2 linked regions of the Schizosaccharomyces pombe genome follow. Each later gene encodes a partner of the first gene's protein in a complex. Each region holds a gene or a part of one and is shown on either strand. Other genes may lie near its edges.

The links.
Region 2: cog4 (region 1) and cog2 share a complex: the UniProt entries of both Schizosaccharomyces pombe proteins name them as parts of the conserved oligomeric Golgi complex.

Annotation. Positions count from the first base shown.
Region 1 is NC_003421.2:1,350,741-1,356,333, reverse strand, and holds cog4 (COG complex subunit Cog4), read left to right. Parts: upstream 1-1,888; 5' UTR 1,889-2,124; coding exon 2,125-4,341; 3' UTR 4,342-4,860; downstream 4,861-5,593. Other genes in the region: efm2 (methyltransferase Rrg1), read right to left, coding at 1-8; proteinase B inhibitor Pbi2, read left to right, coding at 825-1,058; ado1 (adenosine kinase), read left to right, coding at 5,250-5,593. UniProt on the Schizosaccharomyces pombe protein: Component of the peripheral membrane COG complex that is involved in intra-Golgi protein trafficking. COG is located at the cis-Golgi, and regulates tethering of retrograde intra-Golgi vesicles and possibly a number of other membrane trafficking events.
Region 2 is NC_003423.3:853,026-860,532, reverse strand, and holds cog2 (COG complex subunit Cog2), read left to right. Parts: upstream 1-2,204; 5' UTR 2,205-2,313; coding exon 2,314-2,628; intron 2,629-2,690; coding exon 2,691-2,771; intron 2,772-2,822; coding exon 2,823-3,002; 3' UTR 3,003-3,140; coding exon of another isoform or gene 3,141-6,902; 3' UTR 6,903-7,007; downstream 7,008-7,507. Other genes in the region: U2 snRNP-associated protein sap61, read right to left, coding at 460-593, 649-1,793, 1,846-2,045; elp1 (elongator subunit Iki3), read right to left, coding at 3,141-6,902; spo9 (ER farnesyl pyrophosphate synthetase Erg20), read left to right, coding at 7,296-7,430, 7,480-7,507. UniProt on the Schizosaccharomyces pombe protein: Required for normal Golgi morphology and function.

The sequences.
Region 1 (5,593 bases):
AAAATCATTGTGATTTTTTTAAAATACCCAAAACCAGAGACGAAAAAGCAAAAACAAAAGAAATCCCAAAGACCCAAAAAAGACAGGAGTCAACCTGTTTTCCTTTGCAAACCAGCTAAATTTTAAACAAATGAGAATCCCAATTAACTACCTATGTGAGAGTATGCGTGAGAGACATACTATGATTAAGTATGGATAAAACGAAATTTCTCTCTTTACCATCCATGAGTCCAACTTTTCAAATTAGATCAAAGCTAGGTAACATGTACCTCGCAGGAGTGAAATCACGGTGTTGATCAAAAAGCAAGAAGCAATTTAAAAGCACTGGTTATTAAAGCATCTAATTTCTCAATTTCATTCTCACTCAACCGCCTATCCCAAAAATACAACTCAATTCCAATGGATGTATGTCTTTTCCAGACCGCGTTGTCTACACTGCGTGAAAAAAAGGAATAATGAGGAATATTGTGTCCCTATATGCAAATGCAATAGCCTTCTCAATGTACAATACGAAAATGTAATATATATTTTGTTATTTATTTTACCAAAGTTCTTTTGACTTTCGTTAAAAAGTATACTGAAAGAGAAAGAGCTAATAAATTGGCTAAGCAAGCAATGTGCACAACCGTTCTATTTAGATAAGCTGACCTACGTAATGCACATGGCGAATGCTATATAAACCAGCCTTTTCCCCTTTGCGCTCAATTCCTTCTTATCTGTACTACATAAGCTTGTTCATTTTTTGACAATTAAGTGAATTTTAAGTACAGCTAAAAAATCTGAAACGCTACTTTCCTTGTTTTTTTCGCCTTCGTTATTTCGCCATGAGTCAAAAGTCGTATATCGTTCAATTGAAAGATTCTGTTGATCCTGCATCGATGGATAAAATAAAATCTGATTTAGAGGCATCTGGTGCTAAAATTGGTCATACTTATGATACCGTATTTAAGGGATTCAGCGTTTCTCTTCCTGAGAATGCAGTAGATGCTTTGTCTGCTCATCCTGAAATTCAACATTTTGAGCCTGACCAAGAGATGCATACTATGAAGAAGGATTAGATTTCTCTCCTTACAGAAAGTTTCGCCTCCATATCAATTGCTTATAGTTGAGCTCGTCACTCGTCGCACGCATGCGTTTCTACACTCAAGTACTTTATGACATTTCATATACATCGTTATGATCAAACAAATACCAATTGTTAATTTGATGATTTTTTTTAGAATTAATTAGTAGGTCGGTCGCGTTTTACCATTTCTTTGTGTCGACCAATTCGACCGTAAAATAGTACACACATTTTTGTAATGTCTTAGTAATATTCGCTTCCCAGTAGTAACTTCCATAAAGATCTAGTTGTTTGGACGAGGAGAGGAATATTGGTACAGCAGTGGGAAATCGAGTAAAGGATTCAAGGTGAAAATAAATAAATAAAGAAAAAGAGAAGCAATTCTTAGAAGGGGGTATACATGAGTATGTTTTAGGTAGAACTGAGATGTTTAACATAGACTACCTTCTTTGTGAGTTGTTGTTTGGCCATCACATTGGTGACAAATATGCTGAAATTTCGAAAAACATGGATTTGTATTTAACAACGAGGCGTAGCAGAAAACCGTAAATTTTTAAAATACAGCTTTTGGAAATTGCTCTTCCATGACTTTTTATTACAGTTGTACTATAAGAATGAATGATTGCACAACAAAATATACTCTCCTATATTTCCTGCCTCACATCAAACATTTAAAGAACAACAGCGAACTCTCGCTATTAGAGTCTGCGATGTTGCGTTCTGTCAAATAATGATATTTATCGTCTCGTTAATTATTAGTTACTGGAATAGTATGATATCGTAAAGTTGACCATTTGCAATGCACTCAGTAACTCTTTTTTTAGTAGGAGTCAATTGTGCGGCATTTGGCAAGTTGAATGGGAGACGTTGCAAGGTTTACTAATTTATTTAAAAATTAATTAATTCGAAAATCAACTGACGACAACCCTTACTTTGGTTTCTTTCACTCTTACTTTGAGTTTTTTAATTGTTATTTTGCGCGGTTAATATTCACAACCTCGTAGATTTTTTGAGATAATTTGCGAACGCGTTTTAGTCTTTCTTTATTTAATGAGTGTACAATGGACATATCCATCAATGACTGCACTGATATCTCGCAAATTAAACAACGGTTTCATGACTTACAAGTCGAATCCCAACGAACCGACGAAAAGCTGGAAAGGCTGCTAAGCGATGCACAGCCGACTGAGAAGTTCAATTCTTTAATCAAGAATATGGCAGAACGTCTAGTGCTGTTTGTAGGTCAGATTGAAGAGCTTAAAGATGCTTTTTGCAATACCACTATCGTTAGCGAGGAGGTCATTGAGAGAATCAAATCGGTCGATAGAGAACAGAATCGTATAAAAGAGTGTCTTTTATTTGTTCGTCAAGTCCGAGATTTCAAAGAATGTTTGCAGGATCTCAACAGAGCTATGCATCACCAACAATGGGAAAAAGCAGCTGATTTAGTACATCGAGCAAGCTCCACATCGCCGGCTATCATCGAAGGGAAATTTGCACATGCCGTTGTTCCCACAGCTGAGCAACCTTTAGCGCCCATGGACACCTTAAAAGAAATCACCGAATCTCTACACACTCTCTTTTGGCGGGAATTCCATAAGGCCGCCCGAAATCAGGATCAAAAAGAAATCACTCGTTACTTCAAACTCTTCCCTTTGATCGGCAAAGAAAAGGAAGGATTAGAAGCTTATTGGCATTTTTTTGGTGGAATTATTGCTTCTAAAGCTAGGGCCACTCTCGATGAGCCCCCTACTCATGCTCTTTTTTTTGCACAGGCATTTACCGGACTGGTCGAGCATGTTGCTTCTATCATACGCGCACATACGCCTCTTGTTCAAAAATATTACAAGGCCAAAAACACCATCACCGTTATTGAAAAATTGCAAGGTGATTGTGATCGCCAAGGTTCCATTATCGTGAATACCATGTTTGACGTGAGAAGAATTGATAACCTCGTAAGCTCTATAGCTTCTTACAAATACATTTTGTTACATGCGAAGTTGAAAAATCGTGCCTTTGTTTCGGATCAAAAGGAATTAGAAAGGGTCTCTCTTCAAACGCTACATCCGATTTTGAATGAAATGTCAGCCATTGTCTCCAAATGGAATATCTCAAAAATATTTATTAGCCGTCTTGTCCTTCGATTGTCCCAATCTGATGGTACTTCGAATGATCCATCTGTCCAGGACAATCTTATTTGTGCATCTATTTTCAATTCTTCAAAGATGGAACTTCTGTTAAAAAAGCAACTTCTTCCATCCTTATTACAATTAGAAACATACTATTTCAGGAGAAGTATAGAAACGTCTTTGGAACTTGAGGAATATTACACAAAGGTTTCCCCATGGATGAGCTCTATTGTAGACGATGTCATGTACGTTACGAAGCAAGTATTCCAACGTGCGTTTTTTACAGTCTCCTCTTTATTCTTCACCAGATTTGTTAACGAAAGCTTAATCCCTATTTTAAGAAATGATTACTATGTCTACCTTTCCCATAATCTTTTAACTGTCTGTAACATTATAAAAGCTCAGTTCCAGAGGCTAAAGAATGCAAATAGCATTCCCGCCAAACAAGTCGAAAACTACATAACATTGGTAAATAGTGCTTCACTCAGCAAGCAATATCTAAAATCAATTGTGGATGGTGTTTCTAGTCGGTTGGAAGAAGTTTTTGCCTTTGCCAAAGACCAAAAATTGGTAAAGAAATCGATTGATAATTTTTTGCAGCTAACCGTTAATTTTGAAAATCTTTGCAAGACTTCTTTCAACATGTACTTTCCGATATTTTTATTACCCCGAATTGAGCAATGCATCGATGATTCCTTTGATGGAATCAACTATGTCTTGTCCTATGAAGACTATACGAAGGAGACAGAACATGAAAGACTGGTAGTTACCCGTCTTCGCAGCGTTTGGGACAGGGTTTTGTTGCTGGAGCAATTTACTCCTGAAAATCAGCTTTCTTTACGCTCTATGGCATGCGAGAAAGCTGCAAGTTATATAGAAAACCTCATACTATATAAGATTCAGTGGAATGATTATGGTGCTATGGCATTAGAAAACGACATTTCTAGCTTAATTACTATCTTTTCCAATGATCAAGCTAATCTCCGACATAGCTTTGAGCGTTTGCAAGAAATTCTAATCTTATTAGTATGGGAAAGTGATTCTACAGCCCCAGAGCAATTGATCAACGATTTAAACCTACAGCTACTATCCATAGATATTGTTAGCGCTATTATGGAAAAGAAAGCGAATGTTCAAGGTGAAGATTAACGACCTTTTTTATTCAGGATATTTGAAGAAGCACCAAAAGTTCTTTAGTTGTAATCTCCTGTCATATCCTAAATTTATCCTAAAAAACGGCGGATCATCGTCTCCACGTTTAGCATGATGCCGATATCTATTTTTTTTTCACTCTATTTTTGTTTTTATTTCTTTATTCGTATATTGAAAATTTTGACAACCGGCTACCCTGACGCAGTGCAACTCGATCATCATTTATCTTAGTTTATTATTTCTTCCACACTTTGATAAGTTTTCCGCTAAAAGTTGAAGCAACCCCTTTGTTAAAAAAATAATACAGGAATGGAGTTAATATTCATGACCAATTGTATATAGCATCAAATATCGACTCTTTTAATCTTTATTAGTTCTAATTTTTCTCGTGATCGGCCTTCTTAAATAAGTATTGTGATTATAATATACCGAGGCGCAAAGGAGTGTGATACAGTTTATATCGTTTAATTATGCAGTTTGCAATCAGTTTAATGAAGGTTAAAATTGCGATGAGTATTAGTTGTGACCTAGAATTCCAGTATACAGGTACAATAAGTAACATACACTGTCAATCTTCAGTTACATAGTATTATATTTTTCACCAATATAGCTAATAACTGAAATTGAGGATGCTTGTACAGTTATGCTTATATTGATAATTTTTTTAGCTGCTCAAATTTTAATAGTTTATTAAAAATAGTATGCCTTTACCATACAATATATAGCGAAAGATAAACAGACCATATGGCATGTATCGATATTTAACGCAGTATAGTATTAATAATATAACGCATTACAATTATGCCATAATATCGCTCTTTGAACATTAAGATACTTTACCTGTTGGTGTATTTTCTCGTGGTTTTTCTTTAACTTTTTCCCTTCCCTTACTACAATCATTTATCATGTCTTCATACATCTTGTTTGGTTTGGAAAACCCTCTGTTGGATTACTATGTTGGTGGTGAAACTGCAACTCTTGAAAAGTATGGCTTGAAGAGCAACGACGCCGTCTTAGCTTCTGAGAGCCAGATGGGTATCTACAAGGAGCCATGCGTTAGCTACAGTGCCGGTGGTGCAGCTCAAAACAGCTGCCGTGCTGCTCAATACGTACTTCCTCCTAACTCTACTGTTTTCGCCGGCTGCGTTGGTCAAGATAAGTTTGCTGATATGCTTCTTGAATCGAACGAAAAAGCTGGATTACGATCTGAGTTTTCTGTTGATCCCACTACACCTACTGGTGTTTGTGC
Region 2 (7,507 bases), on another chromosome or scaffold:
TTTTTTTTTTTAATACGGTGATAATGCACAAGACTCATTGTTTTATTATGCTTGAGAAAATTATAGCATTTGCTACATCAAACACTAACTAGCCCGTAGAAGCGTATACGTAAAAGATAACAGAACTCTAGAATTTCAATCAAACCCAACTGGGCCTTAGATCGTCAAAATGCCGGGAGGAGATCTATCGTTGAGCAGTGCTATGAGAAACTATCAAAAATTTCGCAATCAAAAAGAAAGGGGGGAAATAAAAGATCAAAACATGCTGTGTCACGAGAATTCAAAATAGTATGCCTTTTAGCTTTCATGTTTTCTCTTTTCGTTTGCTTCGGTATGTAACGCAAAGAAGAATAAAGGAGCATGCTCAGCATTTTATAACTCAAGTAGGAAGAAAATATCAATTTTTTATTTCTTTAATGTACACTTACACGACTACAAAAATTGAGTCATGTACGTTATTTATAATAAACCTTGGGCCTTTAAATCGTTGTAAACCTTTTCAGACATCACATTACCTTCGTCATCTTCCATTTCATTGAGAGACGCCATTGTGGTTTCCCGCTTCTTTGAGTCCACCTTGTACTTTTGCCAAACTAAAAATTTTCGTTAGTAACATAAACTCACCAAATACAATCATTTTTTTCTTACGTTGCAAAGCTTCATCAATAGAAGTAATCTGATTGAATAAAGGTGAAGGTGATATTCCTAAACATTTTAACCCGTATATGTGCCTTTGTTCAGTAAAGTGTTTATCAAATGCCTTTCTACCCATATACACGTAATTTCCACAAATTTCACAGGGAAACTCTTTACCAAGGCCATGGAGTTTCCAAAGCCAGAATGGAATAGGTTTACCATCCCATCCCAATGGCAGCTTCAAAGGGTTATATATCTTTTCCTCATCATCCTGATCACTTTCCTCATCCTGATTTCCCTCAACACTTACGCTTGGAGTCGATTGTTCAAAGGCTTCTCTTTCCGCAGCCTCTACTTCTGCCAAACGTTCTGCAGCCGTCAAAGTTTGTCGACGAACAACATTTTCACGAGTATCCTTTCGAACATCGTCAAGCAAAGACGTTAACTTTTTTATTAAAAACTCGATACGGGCAATCGCTTTAGGTCCTTTTTGCTTCTCGTTCGTATTACTTGTGGTAGATGGACTAGAAGACTGCATCCTCTTAACGGCCTTATTATGTGCTTTGCTCTTTTTGTGAGCTTCAAATACAGTGATCTTCCCAAAAAACTTTTGACAAACTTCACAATAAAATGCTTCCGTCGAGTCTTTCCCATCTTTTTCGGCTTCAGCGTTGTGTGAATACCAACCAGGAAGTCCAGCTTCCCATGCTGCGTCGAATTCAGTATCAAAAACCGCAATAATCTTATCCAAGTTTGACAGAGGGTGTGTCCGGCGATAAAAGGACACCAAGTATTCGTATAAATGAGTTATATAGTTGATATATGTTTGATTTTTTTCAGGCTTGGGGATTTGATCAAAATCCTCCAAATTTTTCAAATATTCTAAGTAAGAAATATGCTGTACATTGCTTAAGTTTATATATTCTTCGTAACATTCGTTAAGATCCATAAATCGACCATACATCTCTTCACCTCGAAATAACGTGTCAATCTCGTCAATCCCGGGTTGAGAAGGCTTTATGGAATATAATTGACTCAGATCCTCAACTTTATGATCAGGATATTTTTTGTGAAACTCTTGGATCTCTCCCAGCGATTTATAAAACTCTGTTAAATCATCGTCTGCATTGATACGCGCAACTTCTTGATCCTTTAATCTAGCGAATTCAAGTTAGCGGTCAATACTACAATTTTCTTGATTTTACTTACCGATCAGAGGATTCATGGGAAACTAACAACTTTTTGCTAGTTTCGCGAAATTGGTTAAGAAATTGTGCACTCTGATGCTCAAGCCGAAGCCGTTCACGAGGAGCCTTAGGGTTGGCAACTTGTCTATCAACAATAGCTTGTTGCAGCCTTTCTAGCTCTTCGTGCGCGTACCTTTCAGTCTCGAGCACGCTTTCTGACATTTGTAAAGTTTTAACTTAATTTACTGGTGTTTAGAAGAATTTATGCTGCAATTGCTTCGCTAGAGTAATACGTTGAGTTGCACTAAATCAACATGCATGTAGTGTCTAACAACATAATCATTTACTATATATCCATCGTTGTTTGCATATTAGTCCATCATCGTGCTGTTCTACTAATCGAAATTCATCTTCCATGATTTACTAGAGATGGTAGTAGATTTGTACTTCAAAGTTCTACATTAACGATCGTGCATTTTCCTTATTTACCATGACTGAAAAAGACGCAGATAGTGGTTCTGACTTGGTTGACGCGTTTTTATCGGATGCTTATTTAAACACAGAAGAACTTCGTAAAGATGGACCGTTTTCACCCGATGAATTTCTTGTTTCCAAAAGATTTTTAGGTCTTGATGGTTTAGTAAATGAATTAAGTCGACTGTTTGAGCAGGTCAATAATGAATTAATGCTACTAGTAAAAGATAACTACCAAGATTTTGTTCACCTTGGAAGCAGAATGAAGAGCGGAAATACTAAAGTTAGTACCCTGATTTCTTCAATACATCGTTCAGAAGAGCAATTAAAGGTAATACAAATAACTACAAACACTATATTTTTAGTTTCAGTCTACTAACAGTTCGCTTAAAGAATTCGAAGCAATCCTTAATCGGGCATTCAACTGAAATTCAAAATAATTTGAAGCACAAACAAGACGTTGAAAACGAAAAGGTAAAATAACGCAAGTCCCAAATAAGTTGGTCATTATGCTAATACATCTAGCTAATTGCTTCTAATTTGCTTTTACTTGACCAAATATTAAAATTCCTCAAAAGTAATGATTCATCACATCCACTTTGGCTTGAAAGTCTTAACAATGCTCAACGTTTATGTGATACATATAAAGATCATCCATGGGTACAATCTATTTCACCTACTCTAATTAACTACATTAAGCATTAGTGTTTAACAGTTTCTGCTTAACTATTTTGTTCCAGGATTTACGTATCTAAGCTTTTGTATAAATATTGAAGATATACTAAATGTAAATCTATATGTAAATGAAAAAATTTCCCCATTTATCCAAAACCAATCCTAACCCTATATTAAAATACTCAATTTTTCAAAAGGTTTAACGTTTGGAACAACCGGTGCTTGTGGTTGTTCTCCAAGAGCAGTCTCAAAGGTGCTAACAGGAACAGAAAGAATGGGAATAACTTTCTCACCAATAGTACCTATAACATTTGCAAAATTACGTTGAAGTTCTGAAGCCTGGGTGGTCATATTACAGCGTACTAGTGCTTCGAGCAAACGATGCACCTCAGGTCGAATTTCTTCAACACGAGCGATCAACCTCCGTAAGGAATTGACAAGGTACTCTTCTTCGAATACTGTTCCCTTTTTTCCTCTCGCGCGTTTTCTCTCTAAACGTCGGTTGTTCTTTGACGTGTTTCTTGTCATTTTAGACGAGTTGCTACTCTTGGTGTATTGCGTATATAAAGACCTGTTTGTTGAGAGACTTGTAGATGCTAGTGAGATGTCATCAGGCGTTTGGTCCTCCATAGTCCCCTCCATCCAACTAATAGGATCTTCTTTTTTCTTCTCTCTAAGCACTAATATTCTTTCGGTTTGTGACTTGATTTGGTTTCTAAAGTCGGCAACCAATTCACTAGCTTCACCAAATGACTCCCCAAGAACGGAAATTAGTAAGTCCTTATATATAGATGAATCACCGGTGGCGCGAGCAATCCGAATCGCTTCAGAATATTGTGAACCTTTGCACATTTGAATGACTGCCTCTCTTGGATTCGAAAGGTATAGTAAGTTGATGCTACCTGCATCACAATGTTCCCGTTTCTCAATACACAAGCTAGCCAAATCTTCAGCAGTTTCCCGGATTAAATCTTCTGAATTTGTAGTCTGCTGTAAAATGGACAAGCATTCCCTCCACATTCCGGCGCTTTTATACGCCTCGATGGCTTCACTGATCTTTCCAACAGATTCATAAGCAATTGCAGCTTCGTTTGATTTACCATTTTCTCGAAGGTATTGTGCAAATATAATTAAAACCTCCTTTTGAGCTTCCTTGTCATACTTGTATAACTCTAATGCTCGAGGGTACAGCTTATGTTGAATAGTAAAGTTTTTGAATTCATCAAACGCATTTTCCATTTCCTTTAGATGTCCTAGTGCTCGCTCATACCGCTTCAGATAACAATCTATATTAAACTTCCTGCGAAGTGATTCCTGTTTTTGAAATTCATGTAAAAATGGGACATATTCACGAGGATCTTTTTGAGACTGCTGGGCAATTAAAAGGGCTAATTTTAGATCATACAGCCCTAATGCATGATCAAATAACATATTGACGTCGACCAAGAAGCACATGTGCTCGATTGCCAGATCTACGGTTTCAGACTGAGCCTTAATTAGTCCAGATATCATGCCTAAAGCTGCTTCAATTTTTGGAGGGCTTTCGCAAAGATAGGAAGTAATTATTGCTTGAAAATGTGTATCACCGTATTTTGAAGTCAGATGTTCGCGAATAATCTTGCACAATAAATTAACTTTATTGTCAATGGTAGTGACAGATTGCTGAGACTGTGACTTGGATGTATCACTGTACATCCCTGTAGTAACGTTTTCAGGCTTTAAAGAAGTGAGAAACAAGTCTAAATAATCGACACGGTACAGCCCATCTACAAAAACAGGAATATTTTTCAAAAATAAATCTGGGTCATAATCAAATAGTATATTTAAATCAAGACGATGAGTGCGGCAAACCTTGAAAGCATCACCGTATTTTAAAGCTTTAATATACGTACGTACTCCGTCAAGAACCATAATTCTAGGGTAAATGGTTTCTAAATTTCCTCTAGGCATTTGTAAAACCACTGCCATTTTCGAAGGCATACTGGCAACAATTTTCGACCCTCTTTCAACCACGCGGCATCGCTCATCGTGTCGATCCACAGCATCGTCTTCTACAACTTGCAGATCATCAACGGTAGAAACCAAGTGTACAAATTTAAGTAGATTTTTAGTTGTTGTAAATAATACAAATCTTTCGGTGCAGAAAAACGATAAGACGCCTGTGCTCAATAGTCTTTGCTCAGCATACAACCTGCCATACGAAGTGAGACCTATAGGAACAAAGGTTTCATGGACAGGAACTACAACAAAATCAGAACAGGGTTTGGGAAACGACAAAGAAATGGATTCAATTGATTTTACATTCAAATTGTAACTTATAAGTTTTCCACTTGAAGTTTGAAAAAATAGCATTTCCGAACAGTAGGAGGCATTAAGTATGCAACTTTCGAAACTTTCGGAAGCCAAAAGTTTCAAGGACTCATTGTCTTCGTCACATTGAAAAACAAAAAACTTTGAACAGTTATTTGTGCCATCTGCCAACAACAGAACCTGATTTCCTGATAAACCAAGAAGACTTTTAAAATTCAGACCTTCAGCATACGTCGAGATATCGAATTCTCCAAATTTAGCAATATCTTCTTGTGAGTTAAAAGTAAACGCCGTCAAGCGCCTATCATCAGCAGCAAAAAGCATGTCAGATGTTGCGTTTATCGAAGTCATTTGTACATTATAGTCTAAAGACAATTTATAACGACACATAGGAGGGGGAATATTACACAAAGACAACGGTGTGACCAACAGCGAAGAGCCATCGATGACAGGTATGAGGCCAAAATCGTTTGGAGAAGTAGAAAATTCTGTTACATATTTGAGGTCAAAAACCACTTTTTCTATGTGATTTTTTCCAGTTATGTAAAGCGTATTGGCATGCTCTGGATGCCAACTAATTAATGCATTTTGAGGAATGTTGATTTCTTTCTTTAAATACCAATGATAATTACCGGTTGTCCAAAGCATCACTGAATTTTCGGTCGAAACGGCCAGAATTGATGATGAAACATTCCAAGCCAATCCAGTATACTTTTCGTCTTCCCTTCGACGTAACGAAAATTCTCCATGACGGAGTCCATTGCGTTCAAAAAAGATGACTTTAGAGGAATTATCGGAACTATCTGACTTAATTGTTGCTAAAACGGATCCAGATGGTTTCCATGAAAGCAAACTTTGTTGCCCATCTTGTGGCTCACTAATACTATCCAACAAACCTTCACGAGAATAAACACGAATAGCACGACGTGGTCCCTTTTCCAGACGGTTTATAGAAACATACTGACTATCACCACGCCAGCAAATATAAGTTTTGCCATCGTCAACATCAGAAAGTTTACCCTCATCTATTTTCTCAGGAAGCGTAGGATCTCGTAATTTAGCACGAACTCGTTTTCCTCGAAACTGGGTTTCAGAACGACCCCAACCAACAGAAATATGCTTATTAAATTCATTCAAATCCGCATCAGATAGAGAAGTTTCTGAAATGATATCAAAATTTTTAGTCATAAACAAAATAGTATCTCCACCCGTTATGATACAAAAAACCTGTTCATCAGTTGACCAACATGAAGCAACAATGCCATTCTCAACATTGCCAATTATTTCCCAAGGCGCTTCCTCAGGCGATGGGTCTACTTTTACCATCACAATGTCACCTCCTTTCAATGATAAACATATAGCCATGGGTTCTCCAAGAAACTGCATGCTTTGAATCTCATCAATGTCCCCATTATCTGAAACGAAAGAGGGAGAATCAAATTCAACTAATTTTGAGACATCGTCATTTTCAGATATTTCATATATCTCGATCCCAGGATTCTCATTATCCAAACCACAAACCACGTAAATTTTATCACTTATACTGTTAAAAGCCAAGGCTTTAATTGAGCCATTTACATTTGGAAAAACATGATGCAGGTGTGTTACCAAATTTTTCATGGTGTGTGTGCTATTGCTGGTGAAGCATCATGAACGCCAGTAATCCTCAATTTTGCGTTGCGAGCGCGAAGGCAATATGGTTTGCCCTCACCACCAAAGGAGTCCTAAATCTATATTTCTACTAAACTTTAAGCATTAGATAAACATCCTAATTGTCTTGAAAATTTAGGACCAAATAGATGTTTCAAATAAGTATAGTGTTTTTGATCGATATACTTGATTCTTAAAAACGAGATAAATTTGTAACGCGCTTTCACGCGTAATTTGCAAATTTTATATTCAAGAATTGTGGTTATTTGTCATTTTAAATAATATTTTCTCATAGAAGACCTGTGCTAGTTCTCAGTCTTATACCAAGCTGGTTCTTATACATGTACAATTAAAAATACTAAAATGGTCAACGATTTTAATGAAAAAAATGGCATTAAGAAAAGACTTCTAGATTTCTTCCCAGTCGTTCTCGAAGGAATTCGTGAAATCTTAGAAAGCATGCAATACTTCCCCGAAGAAACCGAGAAGCTGTTATATGTAAGTTGATTATCTTGCCTTTATAACGCGACAGCTAACCTTCATTTAGTCCATAAAGAGAAATACGTTAGGAGGAA